7 linked regions of the Canis lupus familiaris genome follow. The protein of the gene in region 4 interacts with the protein of the main gene of each other region in a pairwise test. Links are inferred from orthologs where the notes say so. Each region holds a gene or a part of one and is shown on either strand. Other genes may lie near its edges.

Region 1 (3,500 bases), on a different chromosome or scaffold from region 4:
GAAACTCATGCTCTTTCCATGAGTGGCAGAAGCCCGTGCTGCGCTGCATGCCAGAAGGTGTGTTATTCAGAGAGGTGGTGATAACATACCTTCAGTGTCTTGTTGTGTCTCTGCAACTCCCGGCATAGACTCTCCAGTTTGCTTCGAGCAAGGATAGCTCTGCTGTGTTCACTTTGTAACTGGTCTTTTTCTTTTTGGATTTGTACCTGTTTCTTTTGTAAGAACTTTAACTTCTTTTGCTCAGTGCGATGCTCATCCAGCTAGACATGAGGGATGCAAAATAAAAGAAAATGGCAGGAATTGCTTTTGAGTTGATAGAAAAGGATGAAAAGAGGAAATACCAAAAGATTACTCTGTGGTTGTTGGAAATATTCTTTGCTATTGTCACTGCCCCTCTGCAAAAAATTTCACAAATGGGACTTTGTGATACTCATAGATACAGCTTTTAGAGCATATCATTTATAGGTTTTCCTTATCATTATAATGATCCCTTCCTATTCTTTTTGGTGGTCTATAAATAGTTTTCCTTCTCTTGAATCTATCCAGTGATACTGGTCAATATAGAAGGGCATATCTTGGAATCTGTAAAGCTGTCAGAATTCATGATAATGTCTTGCATTGGTGCAATGGTCAACAGTGTGTCTGCTTGGTTTATATTTTGTTCTCACAATTATTTCTCATAACAAGCTTATAGCAACTATTTTTTAAAGAATAAGAAAGCATAAAATAGCCTCCTGGTAAGTGGAAGGTGAAGTCTGTGGTTTGTAAAACAGGGAGGGAAGAGAAAATACCTCTCAACTACCTAGCATTGGCGATTTTCCACCAGAGCTTCAGAAGTAGCCACTGCACAATTCAACAGCGAGAATGGCAAGTATCCATAACACACCCTGCCCTCTGACCATCCCCAGGTTCCATGCTCATGGCCAATAAATCATGACACGCACTTTTGCCAACCACAGTGGGGGCCTTTTCTCATGCTCCTCCAGCAGCTACCACATAGTTCCATGCGACTTCCCATCTTGGGATGCTACAGTTCAGGGATGAAGTCACAAGATAAGATGTGGGACACCCAGTTAAATTTGAATTTCAAATAATTAAAAAATTTTAGTAAAAGTATATCTAAAGTATTGGATGGGGCACTTTTACTGAAAAAAAAATGTTTACTTGAAACATAAACTTAACTGGGTGTTCTCTATTTTGTTTGCCAAATCTAGTGATATTTTAATGGAATTCTAGCTCTGGTGGGTGGAGGGGCAGTTTGTGGATCAACCAACGGAAGTCATCAGAGACTAGCACATGCCAGACGTGTTGATCTCAGACAGTCAGTGAGGCTGTATCACTTCATCCAGAGCCTTTCTTTTGCTGGACTCAGTTTCCTGAGTGCCAAAATGGTGCTTAATGCAGGTAGGTGCTTATCCTGATTATGACTTTGTTGGCTCAAGAGGAGGAAAAGCCCATGTGAGACTGTCAGGGCTTCTGAACCCCAGGTGTTCTTAGTGACTTGAAGAATCTGATGCAAGTGATCACACACGATATGAACTCTCGCATGTGCCTCAATCTCCCTGTCTTGAAAAGGTATTTGTTCTTTTTGAACTAGCTGAACAAGACTATCACATTTACTTCAGTTCATGACTTATTTTACTCTCTTCCTCACTCCTTCCTGCCACACCAAAATGATCATTGTTGGATTAAGCTGGGGATGTTCATAAATGATATTCAATCTTCACATTTATGGGCAATTTTCATTTATTAGTGAGAATTAACATCAGGAAAAATTAGACCCATATGACCATAAACATTGATTGAAATTGATTTCTTTCTTGAGGTTCAATTGGAAAATCATTGATATTTTATTATGTTTCTCATTCTAACCTCCTATTAAAAGGATGGATGAGTTTTTTTCATTTTGTACCATAGTTACATTTGTGCTTATATTTGGATTTTATTAATTTTTTATTTTTATTTTATTTTTTTAGAGATAGAGTGGGGGGAGGGGCAGAAGAAGAGGGAGAGAGAGAATCTCAAGCAGACTTCTCACTGAGCACAGAGCCCCATGCAGGGCTCCATCTCACGACCCTGAGATCACGAGCTGAAATCAAGAGTTGGACACTTAACTGACTGAGTCATCCAGGCGCCTCCCATTTTTTTTCATTTTTTTTAATTATAAAAAAAAAATTTTAGAGAGAGAGTGTATTTGGATTTTAAATGACCTATTATCTCTATCTGAAATTTATATATTGTTATTATTGTTATTGCCATTATTATTTAGACTTTTTTCTTTTTGAAGATTAAATTGTATGTCAGGATTTCTCAACTTAAGCACTTGTACATATTGAGCCAAATAATTTCTTGTTGTGGGGGGCTATCTTGAGCATTGTAGGCTGTTTAGCAGCATCCTTGTCCCCAACCTACTGGATGCCAGTAGCGCCCCCCAATTGTGGCATTCATAATATCTCCAGACAGACATTGACTATTGGCCCACAGTGAGCAAAACTGCCAAACAAGGGAGTACTACCCCATATGGATTTACCTGAGCACTAGGAGAAAGATACCCTACATGTGTTTTATAAGTTGGAAGAGATGATTTTTGCTTGCTTATCAACCATGTAATGTTCTAGTTTTACTGCAAAGTCATACATATTTGCCATTAGGTCTATCTTGCTTTGCTCTAAATAAAAACTCTTAACTTTCTGACAAATTTATGAAGAGTGTGGCTAACTTTATTCAAATACTTCTGACTTGTGAATATATATATATATATATATATATATATATATATATGGTTCTTAATGAATGAAAGCGAACATATTGTAACGAGTCAACTTTAGTCAAATACTTACTGGCTTAGTGATTTAATGATGCACTTAGACACAGCACTTCTGTACAATTGTAACAGTCATATTGGATTTTTATCTGCTATTTTTCTTGTTCTCTCTTTTTCATTATTAAGTTAAAAAAGTAAAATTAATGCCAATTATGAAATCAGAATAGTATTAGTGGTTTGTTGTGACTACATTAAAACTGAGGAAACTTAGAAAACCTACTTCTCCCAAGTCCCTTCTTAATTTAGTCATGTGGTATCTTTATTAATAAATATATCCTTATTTATTAATGAAAACAATCGTAGATGATATTACAGGATTCAGAGTCTGTAAGGGTGAGTTAGCTAGAGTGGCATTTTGATTCACGGCTTTGAATTTGATGATTTATTCTATGTTAATACATGTCAGACACCTTCTATATTAATATCCAAATCAGTGAGCAATGAAATAGGTTTTAGTCTTTAAGTAAAAGATTGAAATTATTCATAATTTTGCCTTTCTGAAAAAGAAATGTAATGAGTTTTTGGCCAATTATCTCCTATTCATTCTTTCTAGAATGATCTTTTGGGTTTTAAAGTTCATTATAGGACATGATATAAATGCCAAAGTATAGTAAGTAGGCTTGAATTGAGTAGGCGCTCTGGAAAAATAACCTGGGTGGGGTGACTCTTGACTAGG
Region 2 (4,186 bases), on a different chromosome or scaffold from region 4:
CATGTTCCTGCATCTTCATCTCTTGGAATTTGATGAATTTGGAACCACGTGTCTGCAGATACAGCCGCCCTCCTGAGCGATTGGTCTGGCACTCCTGGCTGGGGCACATGATCAGAGGCATGAAAGTAGGAGACTGGATCTAGAATGCAAGAAAAAGCAAAAAGCCATGAGTCCGTCACCTGAGTCAACATTTCCTCTTCCCCATAGCACACATCGCACACTGCCAACGTTTTGACCTGTCCTGAGTCAATAAGCATAGGAACCAAAAACCCATAAAGGACGATGGAAAGACCACTACGGACCAGAAAAACAATGATAAGTAAACACACAGTTGTGTTTCATAACGAACACAGCAAACAACAGATAACTACCAGGAGTTAAAAGTAATTCTGGGGCAAACCACTAACAATTAAATATGTTCCTATTCCTTGCTCCCTACATACCGGCTGGTAGGTCTCTGCTCCACACTGGTCACAAGTGTAAGTGGCCACCACCATCCTGGGTTTGACTTCGGAGACACGAGTGACAATTCCACGTACGGTGACCAATTTCCCCACAGAGTCAGCCCGTACTTCCCGGATCACACGAGGCTTGTTACTGCTTGGGCCTTGAAAGTAGAGCTCACTAAGGGAGAGAAAAGAGTCATTACAAAGGTTCTGAAGCACAAGCTTGCACAAGCTTCCACAGCCTTCCTCGCTGAGACCACTCACAATCTGCGCATGAGTTCGGGAGGGTACTGGTTCTGCGGGCTTCGGGCTGCCCCAGGGTCGCGGCTCCGCTGTTCCATCATCAGCCGATGTTCAATGTAAACATCCAGAACATCTTTGTTTACCACCTCAAGAGAAAAGAAAGATAGAAGAAAAAACGTGTGGCAGGACTAGAGAACGAAAGACCACAAAGGGAACCAGGCAGAAATTACTGCCCCCTTTCTGCCAACTCTGAAAAACCAGCATCTGAGAAGCTTCTGGAAAGCAACCTGTGTTGCCCTGTGTTGTCCTGCAACCACTCACCTCCCTCTCCTTGTACTGAGGCAGCAGCTCTTGTACAGCATCAGCAAAGAGCCTGGTGTAGCGTCTGGCATTCTCACAGATGGAGTCCACCAACTCAGGGTCATCCTCAGCTACATCATCTAGGTCTATGTACATTGCCACTTGTTCCCGATGAGCCAGTTGAACCTGGGGTAAGGACGAGACAGAGCTGTGTACACCATGGTCAGCAGTGTCCCCCACCCACAAGGGTAGAAAGAAGCATGAGACAAAGCAATACTCACTTCTCAGCCCCCCAAAGACAGCCCTCTAACTTCTAAAGAGCACACTGCTCATTACCCACACAGAATGACTTCCACTTACTAAATATTAAGAATCACACTGAAGCTGTTACCTACATGTACACTTACTGAAGCAAGCCAGGCCACCTCTTACAGCTCCTTAAGCAACCACCCATTCCCTCCACTTTTTCTATGACTCACCAACTGGTTCCCGTACTTGAACTGCTTCTTGCCAAATTCATCATCCTGATAAAACTCTTGTAGGAATTTCTTAACCTTTTCTGCAAGGAAAACGTAAATCATGAGAATGAGTCTTTCAGATACTTTACCACAAAACCCCTTGATACGCTTCTTTAAAAAACTCGCTTTTACTTCGTAATTCTTACCAAGTAGAGCAGAACTCCTTCTAACAGGTCTATTCTCACCTAGAGAAGGGGCCCCGGGCAGTCAGGAGCTTTACCCAACAACCTTCCCCCAGGGAATCCCAGTGTCTCCCCTGGTTACAAATCTCAGTACTCGTTCCCAAAGGCCTTTCACACCCCGCCACACGCTCTGAGCTCAAGGTTCTCAGTTTTTCTTCCACGCGTTGAGATTCCTCTTTTTCTTCGGTCTCCTCAGTCTCTCCACTAGGCCCAGCCTGCACCCCACCCCCTCTCCCGCCACTGCTTCCGCTCTTAGTAAACAAAGAAGCACATGGGCCCAGATGCAGCCGCCTCACAGCCCGGGATTCCTCCGCCCAGGGCGGGAGCCCGTCCGGCGATTGGCCGGCTCGTCAAGGGCCACTCCGTCCCACCCGACCACCTCCTTTCTCGGCCTCCCGCGAAGCCCCCCAGTTTCAGGCACGCCCCCACCCTGAGCAGCTCTTTCCGAGGCCGCGGCGCGGAAGGACACTGTTTACAGACGACACTCCCTCCAGCGACGTCGCGCAACTTCCGCCCGCCTTCACTTCCGCTTAGAGGTTGGCCTAAAATGGCCAATCCCGGCACTCAGCGGCCGGGGCCCGCCCGCCCCCGGGACTCCGGCGCGTCTCGAGAGGGCGCGGGCGCTCCGAATGTCTAAGGGTGCGCAGGGAGGGGGGACCCGGGGTCCTTGTCCTTGGGGGCGGAAAGCCCTTTGGGTCTCCTGAGGTCCCGGTCTCTCCTGGGCGCGACCCTCCCCCGCCCACCGCGACCCGCCACTCCTTCCCCAGGCATGACTGGCTCTTCGACTTCCGCGGCCCGCGCGCCTCCCACGCACCGTCTGCCTCTGCCCTGCAGCCTCTCGACCCTGCCTCTGGCCGCGCGCCCCGGGGCCCCAGGACGCCGGCTCACGCCAACAGGTGTTGGACCGCAGGCTTCCCGCGCAGGCCGCTCCTCCCAAGTTTGCATATCCTCACCTTTCTCGAGCACGTAGTCTTTAACTGCCATCGCCCGTGCGGCAGCAGCTGGCGGGCTCAAGGCGCTCACTCCCAGGACAGCAGAAAGCGTCCGCGCGGCGGGCTCCTGCCGACCAACCGAAATTGGCGCGAAACGTCGCCCCCCACGTGACGGGCGCCGCCGCGTGCGGGCCTATCAAAGAGGAGGCCCTTCGCCCCTCCCACTCTCCCGCAGGCCATAGCTTCGGCCAATCACCAGGCGAGTCTGGACTGAGTGACGGGGCAGCGGCGCGGGCACCCGAGCTGCGGAGAGGCGAGGCGGGGCGGGGCGGGGCGGGCGGGGCGGGCGCCGGGTTTCCCGCGGTCCGAGCTGGCTCGGACCGAGAGAAATTGCTCTTAAAGGACCAGCCTACGCGCGTCCTTTTGTTCCGGGGCCGCAGGGCGGGGCAGGCCCAAGTTTCGCTGTCTCCTTGCGGACTCTCCAACCACCATGATCTCCCAGTTCTTCATTCTGTCTTCCAAAGGGGACCCGCTCATCTACAAGGATTGTATCCTTGACCTGCGGGGCGGGAGGCCTGGGTGGGAGTAGTGCCCTAGAGCCCGCCCGTGTCGCCGACTCCTTAGCTGTCCTTCCACCCGGTCAGTCCGCGGGGACAGTGGCGGTCGGGATGTGGCCGAGCTCTTCTACCGGAAGCTGACGGGACTGCCCGGAGATGAGTCCCCGGTTGTCATGGTAACCTGCGGCGGGGCTTGGGGTAGGCTCCCGGAGGGCTGGGGGGCGCCTCCTTCCTCCCAGGACCGTTTCCCTGAGAGCTGCCGCTGGGGGGCGCGGGCGGGGCGGGGGGTACGTTCTGCCAAGTAATCCGAGCGACAGTTTCTGGAGCGCTAACACTCTACGGGGCGCAGCTCCGCCAGTCCGGGGTAGGTACCAGGGCCACTTCCACTTCCACATTAGGCAGCTGGGTCCCGGGGCGGGGGCGAGGTGCCTGGCTCGCCCCAAGGCCCACCGCTAGCAAGTCTCGCGGGTCCTTAATCACATGTCTTCCTAACGCTCTCTTCCTCGCCTCCGCCTCAGCACCACGATGACCGTCATTTCATTCACATCAGACACAGCGGCCTCTATTTGGTAGCCACGACTTCAGAAAACATTTCTCCCTTCAGCCTTCTAGAGCTGCTCTCCCGGTGAGGAGGGCAGGGCTGGGCACCTGGGCGCGGGGATACGACCGTAGAAGGGTATGCACACACAGCCCTGTTTTCTCAGGTTGGCCACTCTCCTGGGCGACTACTGTGGCTCCTTGAGTGAGGGGACCATCTCCCGAAACGTGGCTCTTGTCTACGAACTCCTGGATGAAGTGCTGGTGAGGGCCAGGGGTCTCCCCCAAGTGCCCAGTGCCCTGCAAATGTGGGCTGGGGTGGGAAAACTAAGTCCATTCACTTTCACCTTTTTCCTCCACTCACCACCCAAAGGCTGTCCTTCCTCTGCCCCCAGGACTATGGCTATGTGCAGACCACATCCATGGAGATGCTGAGGAACTTCATCCAGACAGAGGCTGTGGTCAGCAAGC
Region 3 (3,997 bases), on a different chromosome or scaffold from region 4:
CTAGAAATTGACTCCCTTCCCCTTCTCTCACTTGAGGTGGGTTCTCATGTTACAGGATTTGGGATAAATATCCAGCTCTGGATTAATTGTGGCTACTTGGATTCTCTAGTGCAGAACTTAAGTGCAGTAGGTTTTAGGTTTTAGTGGGTTTTGTTATCTCAGAGGATCTTTTTTAGACCTGTAAAAGTACTTGAGATGTGACCATAACAACATACCTTAGTAGGTGCTGACAGTAAGAATTAAAACCCAGGGGTGTCATCAAATCCTAACTTGAAGCACCCTTAAAGAGCTTACTGGAAAACCTCTTTGTTCTTATTTATTAGTCTTCTGGAAAATGGAGAAACAGAAGTGTAGGAAACAGCTACAGCATAAGAAGTGCCCAACATGTGTGAGACCTGAATTTGCCCAGGGTGGTTGTCTACTACTTAGAGAGAGCTCAGGCCAGTGCGTGGGAAGTAATGTCCAGAGACATGGAGCAACATGGCCAACATCAAGCAGCTGATAAACAGCAGTGTTCAAGGTAAAAAAAATGCCACCGAAGGACCTGAAGCTGCTACCAGAACTGAGAGAGGGTGAGGGAAGAAACAGGCTTCATTTGTTTCCCTTGAGTTCATGGGGCTGCCTCCACCATGGGTGGTTCACATCCATATCCATTGTCTATTACCTGTGTGGACATGCATGCACATTCACACATTCACATACACAGCACACGTAAGGATGTAGAAAGTTCTGAAATTGGCCCTGGAACATCTGGATTCAGTCCTGGGTCAGCCTAGCCACTCACTACACTTGTGATCTGAGGTCTCTAAGCCTCGGTTTACTCATCTGTGAAATAGGGCTGTTTGATGCCTGCTTTGCCCTCTCTTAGGTGGTGAAGGACACAGACCCAGATGAGCCTCCTCCACAGCCTGCACTGATCTAGCCTCCCCCACCACCAGCAGAAAAATCTGGGAGGTCAGGCACATGACCTTGCAGAGAATGCATGAGTGCCTTTCTGCACACAGCCCTGGGGCAGGGACCATTTCTCTTTCAGCTCAATGAATGGTGGAAGCTCATAGAAAATAGCAGACAAAGCAGGCCTGGGGGTAGGGGAGCTTCCAGAAAGGCCCACGACCGGGCCACAGGGACACTGGGGCTGGAAACCAAAAGCCACTAGGCTCTGTAAACCCACTAGGCAGAGCAGAGGCAGAAGGGGAGATGAGCACAAGGCGAGTGGTGGTGGACATGCCCACCGGGGCCAGCTCCAGCATGCCCCTCCAAAGGCACAGGGCATCCTTCGGGGGAACATGGTCATCATCCTCCCTGGATAGCCCCCCAGCCTCCAGGACCAATGCCTTGGGTGGTCTCATCCGAGCACCCAGAGTCTATGTAGGGATGGCGCCCAGTGGGTTCACAGGTGGCCTGGGCACCCGTGTGACACGCCGGGCTCTGGGCATCAGCAGTGTTTTCCTGCAGGGCCTGCGGAGCTCAGGTCTTGCCACAGCACCAGCTCCAGGTCTGGAGAGGAACCTCAGTACAGTTGAGGACCTGGGGGGTTGCCTGGTGGAATACATGGCCAAGGTTCATGCCCTCGAGAGCGTCAGCCAAGAGCTGGAGGCACAGCTGCGGATGCACCTGGAGAGCAAAGCCACACGCTCAGAAAGCTGGGGTGCCCTCAGGGCCTCCTGGGCCAGCAGTTGCCAGCAGGTGAGTGCCTGGGCCATGCCCAAGGGCTTTGCGTAGGGCCAGGAGAGGGTGCTGACAGCCGCCTGAGGGGTCATTATCAGAGAGCAAGAATGCTGAGGCGGGGCAGGGGAGTAAATGGTTTGAAGCCAAAGAAACTGACCACAACCTCTCATTTCATGCTAAAAAATACTAATGATAATGAAAACAATAATGACAGCTATCATTTACTGAGGTAGACTAAGGGCCAGGCCCAGTTCCCTGTACACGAACTATCTCCTATGTTCAAAGCAATACTATGCAGAGGCTCATTTACCGATTGCATTTTTCAGATGAGAAAACTGAGGCACAAAGGAATTATGTAATTTGCCCAAGATTTGCAGCCTGTAGGGAAGCTGAGCTTTGAGCCTGAATTGTTTCAGTTCCAAAGCTTGCATTTGTCCCATAACCCTGTTAAGAAGAGGTTTTGTGTTAAGAAAGGGTTTTCACAGCCATCATCAAATGGAACACCATAGAATGGATGAGGCATCAAAAACAAGGATAAATGGAGGTGTGTTCCTGTATCCATCTGCTACAGAACTGTCCAATAGAAATATGAGCCACCTGGTAATTGATAAGTTTCTATTACAGTAAAAAAATAAAAAGAAACAGATGAAGCTAATTTTAGCATCAATATATTTTAAATGTTATTTCAACAGGTAATCAACATTTAAAATATTAATGTGATAGTTTACATGAAATAGAACTTTCTGCAGTGACTGAAATGTCCTATATCCACACCGTCCTGTCTGGTGGCCACAGCCATATATGGCTATTGAGCACATGAATCCTGGCTAATAAGACTGAAGAATTGAGTTTTTATTTTTATTTTATTTTATTTTATTTTATTTTATTTTATTTTATTTTATATTTTATTTACTACATGTGGCCAGTGCTATCCTATTGGACAGGGCTGGACACAGAGGTTTCATCTTTCTCCCTTGCTTGGTCAGGATGTGCTCTCCTGGGTGATTTCCGCAGAGCGCTGAGCTCATCTGTCATGTCTGGCCTGCAGCCTACTGTTCTACCACCAGGACTCCAGCCAGCATTGCACATCTCATCAGATCTCTGTGGGTGGCTGGCTTCTCTTTCCCTTCCCTACCCAACCTCCCCCCGATACATGCTGATCTTGGGATCCCTCTGAGCTACATGGGCCTCTAATTCAGCCAGGAACTGCCAGCTTGGACCCCTTGGGCCCTAGAGGCCAGCATGCACTCCCCAAGAGGAGATCACAAACTTCTATTTGTGTGTGGCTAAGTGATGCAGTGCAGGCACACTGAGAGGCTCCCCATTTCCCTTCCTGCCTCCCATTTCATCTGAGGATGCTTCTCCTTCATTGTCAGTCAGTGCCCGACCGTCAGCTTAGGACATATGATATACAACACTGTCCTCTTGGCTTTCCTCTGGAGCTGTTGTTCTGCTTACATCCATCTGGGCTATAAGGGAGAGCCATCTTAAAGCAGCCTGGGGCTTAAAGCTGTCAAATCTAAGAAAGCCACCCCTCCCAGATTCTCCCTAGCAGTCCTGATTCCAAGTATTTGTGTCCTATAAACCAGCAGGCTGTTCCTATATGTTCCAATATTTCAGCCTGTGTAGGACAAGAAATTGTTCTGCATTCAGACGCCACCCAGACTTTTCATGAGAAGTCAGGCATCCTAATTTCTAAGTCAAAACGTATAGACACAAAACTTAGTCCATATTCAATAGATCCTGATGTGGTCTGGCTCCAGCTAGCTACAGGGGATTGGGCAACTTTCTCAACTTCTCTAAACCTCAGTGTCCTTATCTGTAAAATGAGTACAATGCCACAGCCATTCTAGCAAATCCATAGATATCTAAGTTGCATGGTTCCTGCCTGTGGGCAGACCATAGATTAGCAAACTGCTCCCTGAGAGCAGCACAGCCAAAGTGCCACCAGAGCCAAGGACACAGAGACATTCAATCCTGTCACTGAATCCCAAATGAGGGTCATTTCTCTCTTAACTGACCATAAGTGAGATACTTCATATGAATACAGACTTCCCTTCTTCTTTTGTTTAAAAGCGTGGACTTGATGGGATCCCTGGATGGCGCAGCGGTTTGGCGCCTGCCTTTGGCCCAGGGCGTGATCCTGGAGACCCAGGGTCGAATCCCACATCGGGCTCCCGGTGCATGGGGCCTGCTTCTCCCTCTGCCTGTGTCTCTGCCTCTCTCTCTCTCTGTGACTATCATAAATTAAAAAAAAAAAAAAAAAAAAAAAAGCGTGGACTTGAGATACAGTGAGACTGACCTGTAAAATGCAGTTATTGCTGTATCA
Region 4 (4,120 bases):
ATGAGTTTAAATTAGAGATGGAGATGAGTGCCTTGAATGAGAAGGCTGCTCAATTTGGGATTATATATTGTGAAATCTTTTTCTGGATGTTTCTAGACATAGGCTGGATTATAAATTGTATATCTTGCTGTGAACAAGGGAACAGACAAGATTTCTCAAGATCCTGTCAAGCCTGGTGATCTTTGGAAATGAAAGCCTAATTAAGAGGCTCCCTAGGGACAGGTCAAAGGCGTTCTTTTATCCCTACTGACCCCATTCCAGTTCTCTGATGCCTATTCTGCTCCTTTTCATTCAGCCTACTCTAAAACTGAAGAATACATATTGTGCAAGTTTCTACCTTTGCTTCCTCTACTGTAAATGCATTAGACTATTAGAATTAAGAATTTTAAATACCTTGTCCCTAATCTCTGAACTGACGGGTTTTGTTTTTTAATAGAGCTTAACATTTAAAATTCTTCTAACCTTTGTTCTTTTCTTCAATTGAACATAAAGCTTTTAAATGTTGGACTATAAAAGTACTTCAAATATCTTTTAATAAATCTATCTGATGAGTAATACGCTGTCAAATTTCAATTCGCATTTATTTTTTCTAATTTCAAAGATTGTGCTGCATGCAATTACTTATTTGAATTAAACTGTTAGAATCGTTTTGAGTGTCTCACTTCTTTGAAAGGTTTAGGTGAGTGTCTCTACAGTATCACTCAGAGAATAGCAACTGATGCACGTTTTAAAACTTGACATAATTATTTTGCAGATTTAAAGTAATTAATGTCCTTTCTTCCATTGATAGTACAGCAGGAACAGTAGAGCATTTTATTGTTCTTTTATAGCCTCTGCTCCCTCACATGAAAAATTAGTCACGTTAATTTGTGTAAGTTTTTAAACTTTGCAGAAGTGAAAATGTTCTAAATACAAGCGTACGTGAAAGAGTTTTCCAGGGTGTAGAGGTGTGGGCCCTGCTGCACCCCCGAACAGCAATCTTTGTCCAGACCACTCCACAGCGCCATGTTAAAAGCTAAAATTTTAACTTCTAAAATTCTGACGTTTAGGTCTAAGTCTCCTCTTCAACACTCATAAGCAACACCTAAAAACACAAGACAGGCTTCAGACGCTAACGTTCCCTAGACCACCGCCCCAATCACCGTCCCAAATTCCGTACGCAGCTCCGCCAGGTCGGCAATTACCCGCTCCGGCTCCTTGGCGTGACGCTCCAGCTGCACCTGATTGGCGCACCGGCTTGTCAGTCACGAGGGTCCTCGAAGGCCCGGGCCGGACGAGACGCTGTGTTTTTACGTCATTTACCGGCGACGCAAGCGGGCGGGCGAGGGGGGCGGGTGTTGTGAGCACAGCTCGGTGGTGGCGGGGGTAGCCTGCGAAGGTGTCATGGCTGCTGCCGTTGAGCTTAGCCTCTCGAGCAGTGGTGACAGGAGTCCGGAACGGAGCTGCAGCCCCAATCTCTCCCAAGAGGTGCTCCGCGAAATCTTTCGCTCACTGCATAGCCTGGTGGGACAAGTGAGTGGTGGTCTGTGGGAGCAGAGCAGGGGGTTGGGAACTCTCCGGCCCCTCCCCCCTTTTTTCCTCTAGCGGAGGCGGGGGGCTGCTTAGGGCTGCCGGGGACCGGGACTGAGTACTGAGGCCGGCGGAGGAGCCTGAGCCTAGCTGCGGTCGGAGCGAGGAAGGCCGTACGGGCTGGCAATTCTCCCCAAGAGTGAGAGGATAGTGTAAGTGAAAAACCTGGCTCCCAGAAGAACATGCTTGGAGAGAGCGAAGGCGTAAAAAGCTTTGTGGGTTTGGAGGGTGCCTGGCGCTCAGCATCCCCTATCCTTCAGTGAATTTGTGATAGAAATTGATAGAAGTAACGGCCTGAGAGTTTTGGCAAAGCTCTCTCCGCTTTTTTTTTGGGGGGGGGGGGGGGTTGATTTGCTTTTAGGAGTCACTTGGTTTTCTTTCTTTTTTTTTTTTTCCTTCTGGTTGTTACATGTGCATCTCTTACCCTTTCATATGGGGAGGAAAAATGAAAGGAATTAATGTAAATACTTCTTGCATAAAATTCGATGAGTTATCCATGATTGATAGAGTTTGCATCAGAACTGTTTGTCATTTAATTATTAGCTAATTTAACTGACTGATGAATAGCTTCTGCAGAAATGTCATAATAAATTGGGTTTAAATAAAAGTACTCCTTACACTATTCAATCAAGTCAACTGTTTCATGAAATAAAATGCAAAGCATATTACAAATGATAAACAACTTGAAAATAAGTTTGTTTGCTTTTAAAAAGGAAATCTTTTGTATCTTAGACGGAATATTTTTTTACTCTAAAAGTTTGTTATGGGGTTGGTATTAGTGCATGTAGTAGGCACAGCAAACATTTATGTCGAGGATAATGTTTATGAAAACAACACCTGTCTAGTTTGTAAAAAGTTATTTTTAAAAGCCGTGAGTGGATGGAGAATTAATTTTTTAAAAGGTTATTTCAGTATTTTTAAAAATCCTAATATGTTTGTCCTTAGAAAAAGCATTACTCTAAGTTAAACATTTAATTTGGTCTAACGGAACAATTATTAACAGAATCTGCTAAAAGTTGTAACTGTTGAGCTCAGTTGTTTGCCGCCAACTTATTAAAATTTTTTAAAGACTTGGGGACATTAACATTTTAGTCTTATCACCCAAGACCTGTAATGGTTAAAAGTCTGAGAACGTTTTCTGTCTTGGATATTGGAATTTTAAGGTTTATTTATATTTTAATGTCACGATGAAAAAAGTTTATGCTTACCTGTAATTTACAGTTTTATTTTCAGTGGTGATAAATTTTTTAAAGTAACATTAAGAAATAATTTAAACATTTCTTTTGAAATATTTTTGCATACTGAATTTTTAAAACTCATTTACAGATTTTAAACATTCGCGTATTTTGTGATTAAAGTTTACTTATGTCACCTGTCAAAAATGTTGAGAGTACATATTTGGAAAGTTTACATGACACATTGAAGGGACCATCTATACAGGTGTCAAAAAATTAAATCATTGTCTCATCAATTAAATACTATTTTGATATTAGTCTTTATATTTTGAGATGTATTGTTTAAAGGGAAGAATGAAAGCCACAATATTATAAAATTGCCCCTGGAGGAAATCACTATGTACTTTTGCAACAAGTTTATAGGATATTTTTTTTAATGTAAGTTTCAAAAAAAAAAAAAGTAAGTTTCAATATGCCTAGTTTCATTCTGCATAGTATCATTATATTGTTGGCTCTCCTCAATAGGAAACATAAAATTGAATGTTAAAAAGTATCCCAGATTTCAAATTTACTTATTTTAACCTTATTGCTTGCCACAGCATGGCTCATTCTACCAAGTTGAAGCATTATTTATTGTTAGCTTGGAGTTTCATACTAATTTTTTATGGAAAATGCTTACTTAAATAGTCCATATTAATGTCACACCAATACATTTTTGAGTGAATGCTTTACGTTTACAAGTTATAAAGGGTAAAAATGCATCGAATTCGTATTACTAATAGGGAATTTGTTGAATAAATAGTTGGATATATTATGATAATTTTAAAGTTAATTTGTATCATTATGTAGTTTTCTTTAAAAAAACCAAGTGTCTTTAATTGTGCTTGAAAGGCTTACATAATTATGCTGAATTGAAAGGAGAATATGATCCCAACATTAAGATTTATTTTATTTGTTTATTTTCTTTAGGAAATTTGATGCTTTACTTTAGTTGAGGATTTGTCTGTGTTATCCCAAAACTCTATTTATAAATTTGTTAGGAACTGTAGATCTCTTAGAGGACTGTAGAAGTACAGTAATTAAATAATATAAACTAAGATTAATGCAGTAATCTTAATGTAAAACTTTAGTTAATATAATCTAATCTCTGCCAGTGTAGCCTATCCAAAATTTCTTATTTCTTTATAGTTGTCTGATACAGACTTTAAATGTTTCTTGTCTCATGGAAAAGGTGGTAAATTTTTGTCATACAGTATTCATTAAGTATACTGCCTTTTTTGGGTAACTTTGGATTTCTGGTTCTTTGTACAGTGATTCATCTTTTTGTTTTATTAGAATCACAACTCATAACATCAGTATTTGAACTAATGTAATAC
Region 5 (3,500 bases), on a different chromosome or scaffold from region 4:
CACTGCTCATTACGTTACCGAGTCGGCCACGTCCCGAGTTGTGGTAACCAGTGCCTTTCGTTTGGGCCACCGTGTCAGAGTCCAGCATGACCTTTTTTTGAGGCAGTGCCCTTCCACCCTAAACTTTTCTGTTCCTCTCGCTATTTGGCTTTATGTTGAGAGCCGCCAACCCTAGCTTTTTCATTTTTCTCGTGGTTAGATGGATAGCGCAGTCCAGTGTAAGCATTAAAAACACTTTCCGTTTTGTTTCCAGCTCCCTGATCCCGAGATGTGGTAGTGCTGCCTGGGGCTTGCAATGAAGGGGAAATGACCTGCTTATGCCGGCACCACCCACATCCTAATAACTCTCTCTGCTTTACCAAACCAGAGCTCATGGTCACCTCAAGTTGCTATTTTATTTCCCATTCTTTTCTGTTTCCAAAATCTGTATGGTAGATTCCCTCCTGCCTCCTCCCGCCTTCCTCCCCTACAGTTTTGTCTAAGCAGCTGTGAATGTGACTATACCCGTCTGTTCCTGTCTCTGTGTTTGACTGTCCGTTTCTTTGTTCACTCAGACTAAACAGTCGTCTTCTGAAAAGCTCATGGATGGCTCTGAAATCTTCAGTTTGTTAGAATCTGCAAGGAAACCAACAGAATTCATAGGAGGGGTTACTTCTACTTCTCAAAGCTGGGTTCAGGTGGCCAATTGCTCCCTCTTTGGTGTTCCTGACTCTGCCTATTTGCCTATCTTTATGCCTCTTTGGTGTGTGTGCACGTGTGTGTGCATGCATGTTTTGCATCCAAGTGGCTCTAAGGCCTTAAACACCTGAGAGGTATCTTCAGGTGTTTTCCTTCGTGCCTGCTTGGCATAGCTGTGATGTGCCTTTATTTGCATCACTAGAACATACTTCAGATATTCAAAAAGCAGTCATGTTGAAAAATCTGAATAGCATTTAATTTTTTAAGCATCTTATGTCATCCATTAGGTCTCAGAAAGCTGCCAGAATCAGTGGGAAAATGCTATAGTGCTTTCATTTTGTTTTGTTTTCGTTGCGTTTTATGCCGCATCCTGTTTCATCTGCAGATATCCCGACATAGCAGCACAGGCTTGTGTGTGTGTGTGTGTGTGTGTGTGTGTGTGTGTGTGTGTGTGTGTGTTGGGGCAGAGGACGCGCCTCCGAGATTCTGGTGGGAGGAATGAAAGCGTTTGTAAGCGTTTCTGATTATAAGCACTTGACACTGGCTTTAGGTGTCCTGGTGAGTGGCTGCTTTTGTTTTTATTTTGGCTTTGTGACCTTTGGTGTATGGAAAGCCACAATGACACCCCAATCCTCTCCCATGCAGAAAACAGAAACCAAGACGGAGTCCAGCAAGACGGAGACAGAAACAAGCCATTTAGCACCGAGCCCCCAGCCACTTAGCACCGAGAAGGTTGTGCAGGAAACCGTGCTGGTGGAGGAAAGACATGTGATGAGTGTGCATGCGAGTGGGGATGCTTCTTACGTGGCTGGAGATGACATGGATGCTGCGACACAGGCAGCATCTGCTGATGCTTCTGGCTTGAAAGGGAAGGAGGGCTCTGCTCTGCCGGAGGGGGCTAAGGAGGAGAAGGGGCAGGTGGCCGATAAAGCTGTCCTCGAACAGGAAGAGACAGCTGCTGCTTCCCACGAGCCAGAGGAGGAGCAGAGCACAACAACCCACGTTCCTGAAACTCGGGAACAGAAACCTCATTTTGAGGTAACTAGTAGTTGACGTTACTTTCAGCACCAACGTAAAACTGACATATGACTCCCCAAAATCTCGTTAAGCGTAAAGTGTAAAGCTAAGTTTAATTTTCTACCTTTTCCAAGTGCAATTTGTTTCTCCTCTTATTCCCCCTCTTGCACGGCGACAGGGCCTCCATGCTGGTTTCCATCTTTGGGTTCACATGCAAACGTATTTAATGATTATTAATTATGTGTGGTTCCAGGAAATGGTTTCTACCTTCACTGTAATTATTGGCAGTAAACCTGGGGAATGCGTGGCCAGCCAAGATAGTAGAAAATTCGATAAATTTATTTTTGATCAGGATACTTACCCAGAAGGCCCAAAAACCATGCTCGCCCCGGTACCAAATGCCAGAACTTCGTTCTTTATCTCTTTTACTGAGATTCCTAAAGTATATGGAGTGAGGGGTGGCTAATGTCTTAAAATCTGTTCCTTCTTTCTAAGAAGTTATTAAATAAAAGGCGAATTGATGATTTTTGATCTATTAGTTTAGGCAAGACAGGAAAGGCAACATAAAAATAGTTTTTTAAACATTTCCTTCAAAATGCTTTCCTTTACCTGGAACATCCCATGTGAAAAACTCTCTGGAATTCTGAAAGACATTCCTCAACTAACCCTCCCCACGTTACACCTAACCATTTACTACATACTAACCTGTACTCATACATACCCACCGAGAGGGGAGGGAAAAAGCCAAAATCATGTCTTTGTGCAAACTACTAAATAGCCACTCTACCTGCTTCCCATTGGTACAGTCATCAACTGTGAAGACAGAGAGCCTCAGTTTTGGCAGTGTTTCACCAGGAGGAGTAAAGCTAGAAATCTCTACCAAGGAAGTGCCGGTAGTTCACACAGAAACAAAAACGATAACGTATGAATCGTCACAGGTAAGACTGTGCATGAAGGTCAAAGCCCTGGCACTTTGCTTTGCCCCTCTCTGTGGCTCACTGCATTAAAGTTGGACCCCATGACATTTAATTCGTGAGACTCAGAGGACACAGCAGCCAAACTGTGTCTGTCAAGAGTGATAATGGTAATAATTATAACTTTATTACTGCTGACGAAGCATCAGGTGACTTACACTGGTCTTCGTATATCTCAAGAGGTAGAACGAGGCTCAGGGACCTATTTCCCCAGCCATAGATGAGGAAGCCTACCAGCTCGAGCAGACACTACTCCCATTTCGCAAGGCCCAGTTTTTAAAGATGATTAACCCTGGCTGTGTTTGGGCGAGCCTGTCCCCAAGGCCATGGCTCCCATGTGCTGATTGGACAACGTGGCTATGGGGGGAGATAACTGAATCATTGTGATGTCCTGACCACTCAGATGCCCTGAGGGATCTGAGTGCAGTGTCTGTTCCCTGCTTTCGTAGGTTGATGCTGGTGCAGATTTGGAACCGGGCGTGCTAATGAGCGCGCAGACAATCACGTCTGAAACCACCAGTACCACGACCACCACCCACATCACCAAAGTAAGTGGACTGGGAAGAGACCGTCCCAGTTGGGCTGCACAGACGAAGAGTTTGGTGAATATCAGGACGCCCAGATAGGCGCCTTGGAGCTTTCAGGCCCACTCTGCTTACGGGGCGTGTGCTCCTACACGCTCCTTTCTGTTTAGGAGTATGCACCCTGATACCCTTTGCTTGCCTAACACGGAACTCCAGTCCTCAGCATGTGGTAGGTGTTCCAGAAACACGGGCCAGCCACGCCCAAAGGACTCCATTGTAGCTTCGCTTCTGGAATTAATGATTTTGA
Region 6 (4,059 bases), on a different chromosome or scaffold from region 4:
CTTCCGTTATAGCTATCTGTGTATGTATCGTATCATTCCAATTAGGATTAAATGGAACTTGAAGTATGAATGTTTTATTCATCTCTGTCCTCCCACAGTACATTGTACTTGGTTGATATTCAATAAATATTAAGTATATGTTGACTCTATAATAAGATATATATTATAGCCATGCCCCATAAGACTATATAGGAAGTTTCCTTCACTTTCTTACAGAGAAAAAGCACTGCCATGAGAATATTTTTTTAAATCACCTTATTTATTTCTTGGGAAGTCTTTCAAAAGTGATTTTTTCCTACCATTAATCAGGGTACCCTTTACGTATATGTCAATTGTTATAACTTCTTTGGCTCAGAAGATGAAATCGCTTTACAAGGTTTCAATTTTATGTTATTGCATGTCCTAGTGATCACACACTAACCCACCTTACCATGGAAGACAGCAGTGCAGAAGGAAATGGCTTACCTGGAGGCTATCCCCGAATCCATATCTCTGAGTCAACCCAACCTTTTTTTTTTTTTTTTTTTTTTTACCAAGAAGACTACTCATAGTATAATTATACTTCTCTATTCCCAATTCCTCCAAGCCTCCATAATAACTACCAAACTGAATGTTCAAAGCCCATACTTTCAAGTTCACAAATGGAAAATAATAGGTTTTAACTTCAATAGTGAATTCACCAAAGACTTATTGAATATCTACTATGTGGAAAGAACTGTGGGATACACAAAAATTAATTAGACATAATTTACATCTTCTGGAACTGATGACTAACTGCACAACACACACATAAACAACTCCATTATAAGGCAGATTATGTAAGTGCTAAAAAGCCTCCAATAAGGTATAGAGTACTATGAGGAGAGACTGGTTTAATCAAAGAGTATCTGAGAAACTTCAAATGAGAGAAGGGTTTCTATCTGACCATTCTTTGAAATCAAGCAGTAACATTCAAGAATTTGAAGATCAATCATTTTTAAATAAAGTATTTTTATTCATAAGTATGGCAACAGAATTGAATTTTTTCTACTGAGAAGACTCTGACTCAACATGTAAGTTAAAATTTTATTTAAATGGATTTTCTAGCTCACCTTGAAACACGGGTAAATGTATTTCACAAGCCATATTTGTGGCCTATAATTAAGGAGAGAGCTTTTGCATGTTCAAGGAAAATTTACAATGTGTCCAATAATCTGAGTATTTATTTAAAATTCTACTCCTGGAGAAAAGCTAGGTACCTATGGGCCACCCAATTTTACATAAATTCGTTCAGCATAATACCGATAGTACATTAAAAGGGGGGGAAGAAATCTGAACTAAAGATAAAATTCAGGGCCATAATTCATTTTTTATTCATACCACCTCCTCCTGCAACACTAGCCTCTCCCCAATATAGGACCAAAGGTCTGAAACAGCTTGGAGCATCTGCTTTTCCAGTAAGCTCCATCCACACCATTTCCAGATTTAGATACTTCCTAGAAGATTCTCAATTGCCACGACTGAATGCTAGACGTGTTGAGCACTGTATTGACAGATGAAAGAACCACATTCATTTTAGGCTTAAAATAACTTGCACAGAGGGGTGGGAAAAGTCCGAGTTGACAGACGCCAATGGAGCAAATTTTAAAAGAGGAGATTACGACAGGGGTGGAAGCGAACCAGGGGCATGTAGAAGTACGGTACTTCGAACTGATACTATCTTTTAAAAAAAAAAAATCGCCTATTAAATTACAGAACTCATCAGACGTTTCTGTAATTACCGCACTGAACGCCTAAGCAATGTCATGAAAAAAAAAAATGTTAAGATAAGTCATATGTCATTTTAGAGAATGCACCTGCTTTTAAGTATCTGGTCGCAAACCAATTCGTTGGGATCAACCGTACATACAAAGGAACTAAAAATCAGATTATGTAGATTGAGGCAGGGGACGCCGGGAAGGAATAACTGAGATGTAAGTTCCGTAACGTGTCCAGGGTGCGTTTCTCGGCACAGCTACAGCCGGCGGGCGAAGGGGCCCAGGAGGGGGCTGGGCACGGGGCCCCCGGCCGGCGGCTCTCCGCATCCTCCCGCGCGCTCCTCGTGGCCTCTGACAAGTCATCCCTCGGCCGGGGACGCCGGCCGCTCTCCCCCGCCAGAAACCATTCCCATGCAGGTCGTGCCGTCGCCCAAACTACTTGCTCGCACTTCCCCGCCTCGGGCTGGGGAAAGGTCGCCCAGACCGGGAAGTTCCGCGAGGCGGGCTCTCCCGCGCGGTCCGACCGAGCCTCCGCGCCCGCAGCCGCCGAGGGAAGGGGGCGGGCGGCCTCCGGAGGATGCTGGCCCGCGAGGCCGGCCCCGCGGTGCCCGGGCACGGCTCGGGCAGGAAGAATGGAGGAGGGGAGGCGCGGCCGCGAGGTGCCCGAGGGCCGCACCCCGCGCCCGGGACCCTCCCAGCCCGGGGACCCGCGCGCGTGCCGCGAGCGCCGACTGTCCCCGCAGGGCGAGCCGCGGTCCCACAGCCGCGGGCTGGAGAAATCCGGCAACTTTGCGCGAGAAACGCTTCCCACCCTGCAACACGCCGAGGGAGAGAAAAATGTCAGGCGATGACGGGGAAGGCAGGATGACTTACCCATGTTTCTCCCGGAGGGTGCGGAGCCAGCAGGGCGAGGCGAGGGTCCCCGGAGCGGGCGGGCGGCGCGGCGTCCTCCCTCTACCTCGGCCTCTCCCGCAGCCAGGGAGGGACCCGCGGGGGGCGGCCGCCGGGGAGGAGCAGCTGCTGCTGCCGCTGCTGCTGCTGCAGGCGGCGCGGCCGCGGCGGGGACGAGCGGCGGGGGGGCGGGGCGGGGCGGGGCGGGGGCGGGCGCAGCCTGCGGCGGGCGCGGCTCGGAGCGGGCGGGCGCCCGGGAGGCAGAGCCGGGCTGAGCAGCGCCGGCCCCGACGCGCGGCCCGGGGGCGCCCCGCCCTCTCCGCCGAGCATGCTCAGTGTCTCCCGCGCCCCTTTCTCTTCCCCTCCGCGGGCGGGCCCGCTGCAGCCGCCGCAGGCCGCGCGCTGGGTGGGCTGCGGGGTCCCGAGGGCTGCCGCCCGGCTTGCCCGCCGACCCCGTGTGCCTTACGGGACGGCCCGGCCGCGCGGGCTGCAGGTCCCCGGAGGAGGCGGCGGGGACGCCCCGCAGACATCCCGAGACGGAGCTGCCGTGCACGGGCCGCCGACGGGGCTGCGCCTCCGCGAGACCGAGACCTGAGGGCGCCCGTTCTCCGAGCAGCCTGCGGGGCGCGGGGCGGGCTCCTAGCGTTAGCGGCGCAGCAGCGGGGTGGTTGGGGCTGCCTCGGCCGCGGCGAGCTTCACAACAGGGCTGGGCAGCCGAGAAGGGGGCCGCCCCCAGGGCTTTCCTCCTACGGAAGCGCGGCCTTGCCTCCCCCGAGACGCCTGGAAAGCCACCGGCGGAGCTAGGGTGCCCTCGGGCTCCCCCCACCGGGCAGCGCCCCGCCGAGGTTACCGAGGTAGCGGCGGCCCCGCCCAGCCGGCGGGCCAGGCCCCCGGGACGCCCCCGATCGCGGGCGAGACCCGAGCGGGCGCCCTCCCGGCCGGGCATGCGCTGGGCCCCGCGCCCCTGCCCTGCGGGGGGAGCCGCGAAGAAACCCTCCTGCTCCCTGCGGGGGCCGCGTCTGGCCCGGACCCCTCGTAGCTGTAGGAGTCGGATCGCTCTCCCCACACAGCAGCAGCCGCACCCCAGCAGGGGACAGGCCCGCGGGCAGCAGTCCCACCTGTGGAAGGGGGACGTTGCACACCTGAATCGAGGCTGCTTCTCCCTTCCAACCCCTACTCTTTAAATTCAACGTTGAGGGATCCCTGGGTGGCGCAGCGGTTTGGCGCCTGCCTTTGGCCCAGAGCACGATCCTGGAGACCCGGGATCGAATCCCACGTCGGGCTCCCGGTGCATGGAGCCTGCTTCTCCCTCTGCCTGTGTCTCTGCCCTCTCTCTCTCTCTCTCTCTGTGACTATCATAAATAAATAAAAATTAAAATAAATAAATAAATAAATTCAACGTTGAGAAAAGGCGCCTTGCCTCGCTTCAGCC
Region 7 (4,199 bases), on a different chromosome or scaffold from region 4:
AAAAACCGTGATGGCTCCCCGATCCAACAGAAAAGGAGCACTACAGCACTAACGGCAGATTATTATTGCTAAAAAGGAAATGCAAACGTCTGGCTTATCAATCTTTCAGGAGAACCAGCTACAGCCAAGAAATGCATTCAGGCTGGCAATTACTCATTTACTAATTTAGCACTGCAGACCGACGGTGGGAGCACAAGCATGTGCTTATGCAGGCCTACCTGAAAGGACCACAAAGGCGCCTATTACGGGTAACTCAAGTGGCACCTAGGCGGCTGTGAACACCCAAGTAACCTCTGTGTCTCCGGCATGCTCTGTGCCACTCGCCTTACACTTTCCTCTACCCTCTACCCTCACCTATCATGACGTCCTCACTCAGCTCCACAAGGAGAGGCTTTGAAACTAGTCCAAATGTCATATACTAAGATTAATGGCTTCGGCGTCACTTCAAGCTTACAATTCTCATCGGCCAAGAAGAAAGTTCCGAAGGAATTAATCTCTGTCTCATATCCTCCACAACAAACTTCATTTATAAAACACAGGTGTTCTTAGAAAAGTGGACTGTAAAAATATCTTTATCTTTCCTGTGAAATCAATCCTATCTATCCATTAAATTTCATTAGAAAATGGGAAATGCGATAAAATCCATAAGAAACACAGGTTGAGCAAGAAAGGCCTAAGACGACAGAATGGAAGGCAGCACGCAGCTTGGATGCCTCATGGCCCTTGTCCAAAAACTTCGGAGCACTGTCCCAAATTAAGGCAGAAGAAAGGAACAAGAGTTACGAGGTGTTTAAGTATAGTGCACCACAGCTTGTCTTCCCTCAGAGGTTCAACCCTCGGGAACCCTCTCTGCACATGACTTACAGACACCAGAACCACAAGCAGCCCAGGTGGCTCAGCAGTTCAGTGCCACCTTCGGCCCAGGGTGTGATCCTGGAGACCTGGGATCGAGTCCCACTTCGGGCTCCCTGCATGGAGCCTGCTTCTCTCTCTCTCTCTCTCTCTTTCTCTCTGTCTCTCATGAATAAAGAAATTAAATCTTTAATAATTAAAAAAAAAAACCAGAACCACCATTTCACAGACTCATGTAAAACATGAACACCATGAAAGGTGACACCATAATTTAGAAGGGGAAAGAAAGATCTGTAAAGTTCCAGGTGAAAGGCATCCATACCTGTGGAAGTGCAGTATTGAGCTGCCTCTGCAAGGAATCTCTTTCATGCCCGACCTCATGTAACTTCCCCTGGGTTAATGCCAGCGTTTCCTGAGTCTCTCTCAGCGTGTCCAGAAGACGGTCCCTCTCCTCCAGCATGGACACCATCAACTGTTCGAAATGTGAATCTGCATCTGGCTGCGAAGGAGAGCTGGACCCACGGCTCCCACTTCCTCCTGGCAGGCCTTCTGCTTCACTGATGGTCGGCATCACCTCGCACATCATCTTGAAATAAAACACCCAGACTCCAGTCATTAAGTGCAAAATAAAGGCTCCCACAAACCTGCAACTTTATTAGCTCTCCGTGCTGCTCATAAAATGAAGGTTGACAGCCTCGTTATTCTCAGATCCGACTGTTACACTCTGAGTATAAGTAAGCGGAAAAAAACATACACAGGCGAATCCTGAGTGTGGGAACAGATTAATACGTGGGATAGTGCAGGGCAGGGTAGAGACCTCACAGACTACCCCTGGAGTACAGAACCAACCCTGGGGCGTTTTGTCTGCAAAGCTGTACTTTCTGGTTGTTGAAAACAAGTGTGCTTCTGCAACTTACTTTTTCCCCTTTATTTCCCGGTTCGGGGAGAGAAAGTCAAAACACATGCCACCCAATCATGTTTCGGGAAAAGCACAGAAGGAGCATACAGCCAGTAAAACTGACAAGTACAAAATGCATCAGGCATCTTGGAGGAATGTGTGCAGTCAGCTCCCGAGGAGGACTGGCGGCTCCCTCGGCTTCGGGCCGGACTGGGTGAGCGCTCAAAGGCACCGGATTCGTTAAGGGCCGGGAAAGGTGTTTGTCAGTGGCTGCAAAAGGTGTGACGGTCAGGCAACCCAACTTACGTAAGTTTACGGCCGGAGGGAAAAAAAGAAAAGAGTATTAGAAAGGAAACTTGCACACCGGGCATGGAGCAGGTCGGTGCGGCCGCGGACGGCTAGGAGGGAGCGGAGGAGGAAGCAAGACGGAAGAAAGGACAGGGAGGAGGACGGAGGAGAAGGGAAAGGGGAGAAGGAGACGCCGCCAGCGAGGCCCACAGCAGGCGGGCGCCGCGGGAGGAGGCTGGAGCCCCGGGGGCGGCGACGCCGCGACCGCCGCGACCGCCGCGACCTCCTCGCCCCTCGCCCAGCGCCGCGCTGCAGGGCCCCGGGCCCCGGACCCCGGACCCCGGACCGCGGGGCACCGCTGACAGCTGGAGCGCAGCCCGGGCCGCGGCTTCCCCGGCCACAGGTCCTCGGCCCCCGAGCCCGGCGCGGGGCTGACCCGGGGCTGACCCGGGGCTGACCCGGGGCTGACCCGGGGCCCCCGGGGCGCCGCGGCCCCAGGAGCCCGGCCTCGGGGCGCCCCGCCGGGGCCCACCGCCTCCGCGCCCGGGGGCTGACAGCGAGCGCCGCCGCGGGGAGGGGGCCGCCGCGGGGAGGGGCCGGCGCCCGGGCGCCCGCGGCCCCGCTCCGCCCCGCTCCGCCCCAGCCTGCCTCAGTCTCCCGCTCCTTACCTTGCTCGCCGGCGGGAGCGGGCGAGGAGGCTCCGCGGCGCCGTGCGGGCGGCTGCTCGCTCCGGGCGAGCTCGGGGCCCGACGAAAGCGGCCCGCGCCCGCGCCCGCCGGCCCCGGGCCCGCAGCCCCCAGTCACCAAGGCCGGCCCGCGGCCGGACACTGCCTGAGCGCAGGAGGAGCGGGCCCGGCTGCGCGTCGCCGGCGTCAACGTGCCCGACGTCGGGCGCGTCGGCGCAGCGTCAGCGCCGAGCGCCGCCGGCCGGCCCCGCCCCCCGGGGGTTGGGGAGCGCCGCGGAGGCCGGGCGCGCAAGCCCCGCCCACTCGAGGGGCGGGGCGGGTCCCCCGGCGCCCATTGGCCAGGTGCGGGCGGAGCCCCGCCCCCGGCCCCGCCCCCCAGGTAGGGGCCTTCTCCACCGAGCCGGAGCTCACCTACCGCGGCTCCGGCCGCCCAGAGGCCGTTGGCAACGTCTACCGTGCGTCGGGTTCTGAGCCAGCGCCTTCCTCGAGGCGGGTGCGCCCCGGCGCGAGACACCTGCTGGCTGCCTCCTCGGGGTCGGACCCTCCTCGGGACCGACCGTTCCAGGACTCAGAAGGTCGCGGCGTCTACGCGGGGCCCTTACCTGCGATTCCTGCGGATGCCCAGTGGGCACCGTTTGATGCGGAGATTCCTGGGCGCGGCGTGGGGAGTGCAGGCTCGCCCCTGCGCGGTGGCCTGGGCAGGTCAGCGGAGCCCGCGGCGCTCAGCGCCCCACCTGTATGATGTGAAAACGACACGGCCTTACTCCTGGGCTGCTAGAGCAAGTGGGATCCCACGGGGGGCGGCTCCATTCACGTCCTTATTCATACTCACTCATTCATTTCCTTCTTTGGGCTACTTTGTGCTTTCCAGGTACTACATCATGAATGCACATTATTTTTATCATTAGGGAAGCCCCCTCCCTCCCCCACCCCCCCAATAAATGTTCCTTTAGTAAAACCTAGGCAAACATAAATCATGGAAAATAGCTTTTGGGAAGCTAAAATGCCTTTTCTGTGTACCTATACCACCCAACTAAACTATTTCCCCAAAGTATTTATCCAAAACCTGTTTTAGAGATGGAGTGGCACCCTTGTAAGGCTTAGTCAAGAAAACGAGCCATTTTCCCTAAAATGGTTTTGCTCCAACTCTCCCGTCGAAGGCTTGATAAAGAAAACCCAGGAATGTGGGAGGGGAGGGGATAGATAGACCAGTACTATGGCCAGGGTCGTGTTTTTACAAATGTGCCCACCAGCCTCAGCTCTCTCATGATGTGGTTGGTTGTCAACCATAAGCATGGCCCAGGCCACCTCTCCTAGTTTCTAGAGATGGCTTTCTAGAGCTCGGGAGGAGTGTTCCTCTAAGATCGGAGTGTGACCAGTCCTAGAGATCTGGATGTGTCCCAGGTCTATCAAGACTATGGAAAACAACCTAATGAATAGTGTGACCCTACAGTTCGGGGAAGGCCTGAGCTGGG

The links.
Region 1: the proteins of MBIP (region 4) and TXLNB interact in binary tests that used the Homo sapiens proteins (3 or more experiments, as listed by UniProt). The two-hybrid records come from large-scale screens. The link is inferred for Canis lupus familiaris from reciprocal best matches to the Homo sapiens genes MBIP and TXLNB.
Region 2: the proteins of MBIP (region 4) and MCM7 interact in binary tests that used the Homo sapiens proteins (3 or more experiments, as listed by UniProt). The two-hybrid records come from large-scale screens. The link is inferred for Canis lupus familiaris from reciprocal best matches to the Homo sapiens genes MBIP and MCM7.
Region 3: the proteins of MBIP (region 4) and BFSP2 interact in binary tests that used the Homo sapiens proteins (3 or more experiments, as listed by UniProt). The two-hybrid records come from large-scale screens. The link is inferred for Canis lupus familiaris from reciprocal best matches to the Homo sapiens genes MBIP and BFSP2.
Region 5: the proteins of MBIP (region 4) and EPB41L3 interact in a two-hybrid assay, tested with the Homo sapiens proteins (2 studies listed by BioGRID). The two-hybrid records come from large-scale screens. The link is inferred for Canis lupus familiaris from reciprocal best matches to the Homo sapiens genes MBIP and EPB41L3.
Region 6: the proteins of MBIP (region 4) and RAP1GDS1 interact in binary tests that used the Homo sapiens proteins (3 or more experiments, as listed by UniProt). The two-hybrid records come from large-scale screens. The link is inferred for Canis lupus familiaris from reciprocal best matches to the Homo sapiens genes MBIP and RAP1GDS1.
Region 7: the proteins of MBIP (region 4) and PPFIA1 interact in binary tests that used the Homo sapiens proteins (3 or more experiments, as listed by UniProt). The two-hybrid records come from large-scale screens. The link is inferred for Canis lupus familiaris from reciprocal best matches to the Homo sapiens genes MBIP and PPFIA1.

What each region holds. Positions count from the first base shown.
Region 1 is NC_049222.1:31,678,515-31,682,014, forward strand, and holds part of TXLNB (beta-taxilin), read right to left. Parts: intron 261-3,500; coding exon 90-260; intron 1-89. UniProt on the Homo sapiens protein: Promotes motor nerve regeneration. May be involved in intracellular vesicle traffic.
Region 2 is NC_049227.1:9,437,379-9,441,564, reverse strand, and holds the start of MCM7 (DNA replication licensing factor MCM7), read right to left. Parts: upstream 2,801-4,186; 5' UTR 2,674-2,800; coding exon 2,643-2,673; intron 2,199-2,642; exon of another isoform or gene 2,119-2,198; intron 1,831-2,118; exon of another isoform or gene 1,807-1,830; intron 1,797-1,806; exon of another isoform or gene 1,654-1,796; intron 1,549-1,653; coding exon 1,469-1,548; intron 1,176-1,468; coding exon 1,011-1,175; intron 836-1,010; coding exon 711-835; intron 625-710; coding exon 444-624; intron 140-443; coding exon 2-139; intron 1-1. Other genes in the region: AP4M1 (AP-4 complex subunit mu-1), read left to right, coding at 3,112-3,169, 3,266-3,354, 3,697-3,803, 3,883-3,979, 4,111-4,186. UniProt on the Homo sapiens protein: Acts as a component of the MCM2-7 complex (MCM complex) which is the replicative helicase essential for 'once per cell cycle' DNA replication initiation and elongation in eukaryotic cells.
Region 3 is NC_049244.1:30,851,725-30,855,721, forward strand, and holds the start of BFSP2 (phakinin), read left to right. Parts: upstream 1-1,197; coding exon 1,198-1,686; intron 1,687-3,997.
Region 4 is NC_049229.1:15,070,287-15,074,406, reverse strand, and holds the start of MBIP (MAP3K12-binding inhibitory protein 1), read left to right. Parts: upstream 1-1,320; 5' UTR 1,321-1,383; coding exon 1,384-1,512; intron 1,513-4,120. UniProt on the Homo sapiens protein: Inhibits the MAP3K12 activity to induce the activation of the JNK/SAPK pathway. Component of the ATAC complex, a complex with histone acetyltransferase activity on histones H3 and H4.
Region 5 is NC_049228.1:71,859,202-71,862,701, reverse strand, and holds part of EPB41L3 (band 4.1-like protein 3), read left to right. Parts: coding exon 1-43; intron 44-554; coding exon 555-677; intron 678-1,323; coding exon 1,324-1,716; intron 1,717-2,501; coding exon 2,502-2,633; intron 2,634-3,118; coding exon 3,119-3,217; intron 3,218-3,500. UniProt on the Homo sapiens protein: Tumor suppressor that inhibits cell proliferation and promotes apoptosis. Modulates the activity of protein arginine N-methyltransferases, including PRMT3 and PRMT5.
Region 6 is NC_049253.1:19,381,199-19,385,257, forward strand, and holds the start of RAP1GDS1 (rap1 GTPase-GDP dissociation stimulator 1), read right to left. Parts: upstream 2,801-4,059; 5' UTR 2,614-2,800; coding exon 2,610-2,613; intron 1-2,609. UniProt on the Homo sapiens protein: Acts as a GEF (guanine nucleotide exchange factor) for the Rho family of small GTP-binding proteins (G proteins) that stimulates the dissociation of GDP to enable subsequent binding of GTP.
Region 7 is NC_049239.1:48,513,378-48,517,576, forward strand, and holds the start of PPFIA1 (liprin-alpha-1), read right to left. Parts: upstream 2,801-4,199; 5' UTR 2,707-2,800; intron 1,439-2,706; coding exon 1,175-1,438; intron 1-1,174. UniProt on the Homo sapiens protein: May regulate the disassembly of focal adhesions. May localize receptor-like tyrosine phosphatases type 2A at specific sites on the plasma membrane, possibly regulating their interaction with the extracellular environment and their association with substrates.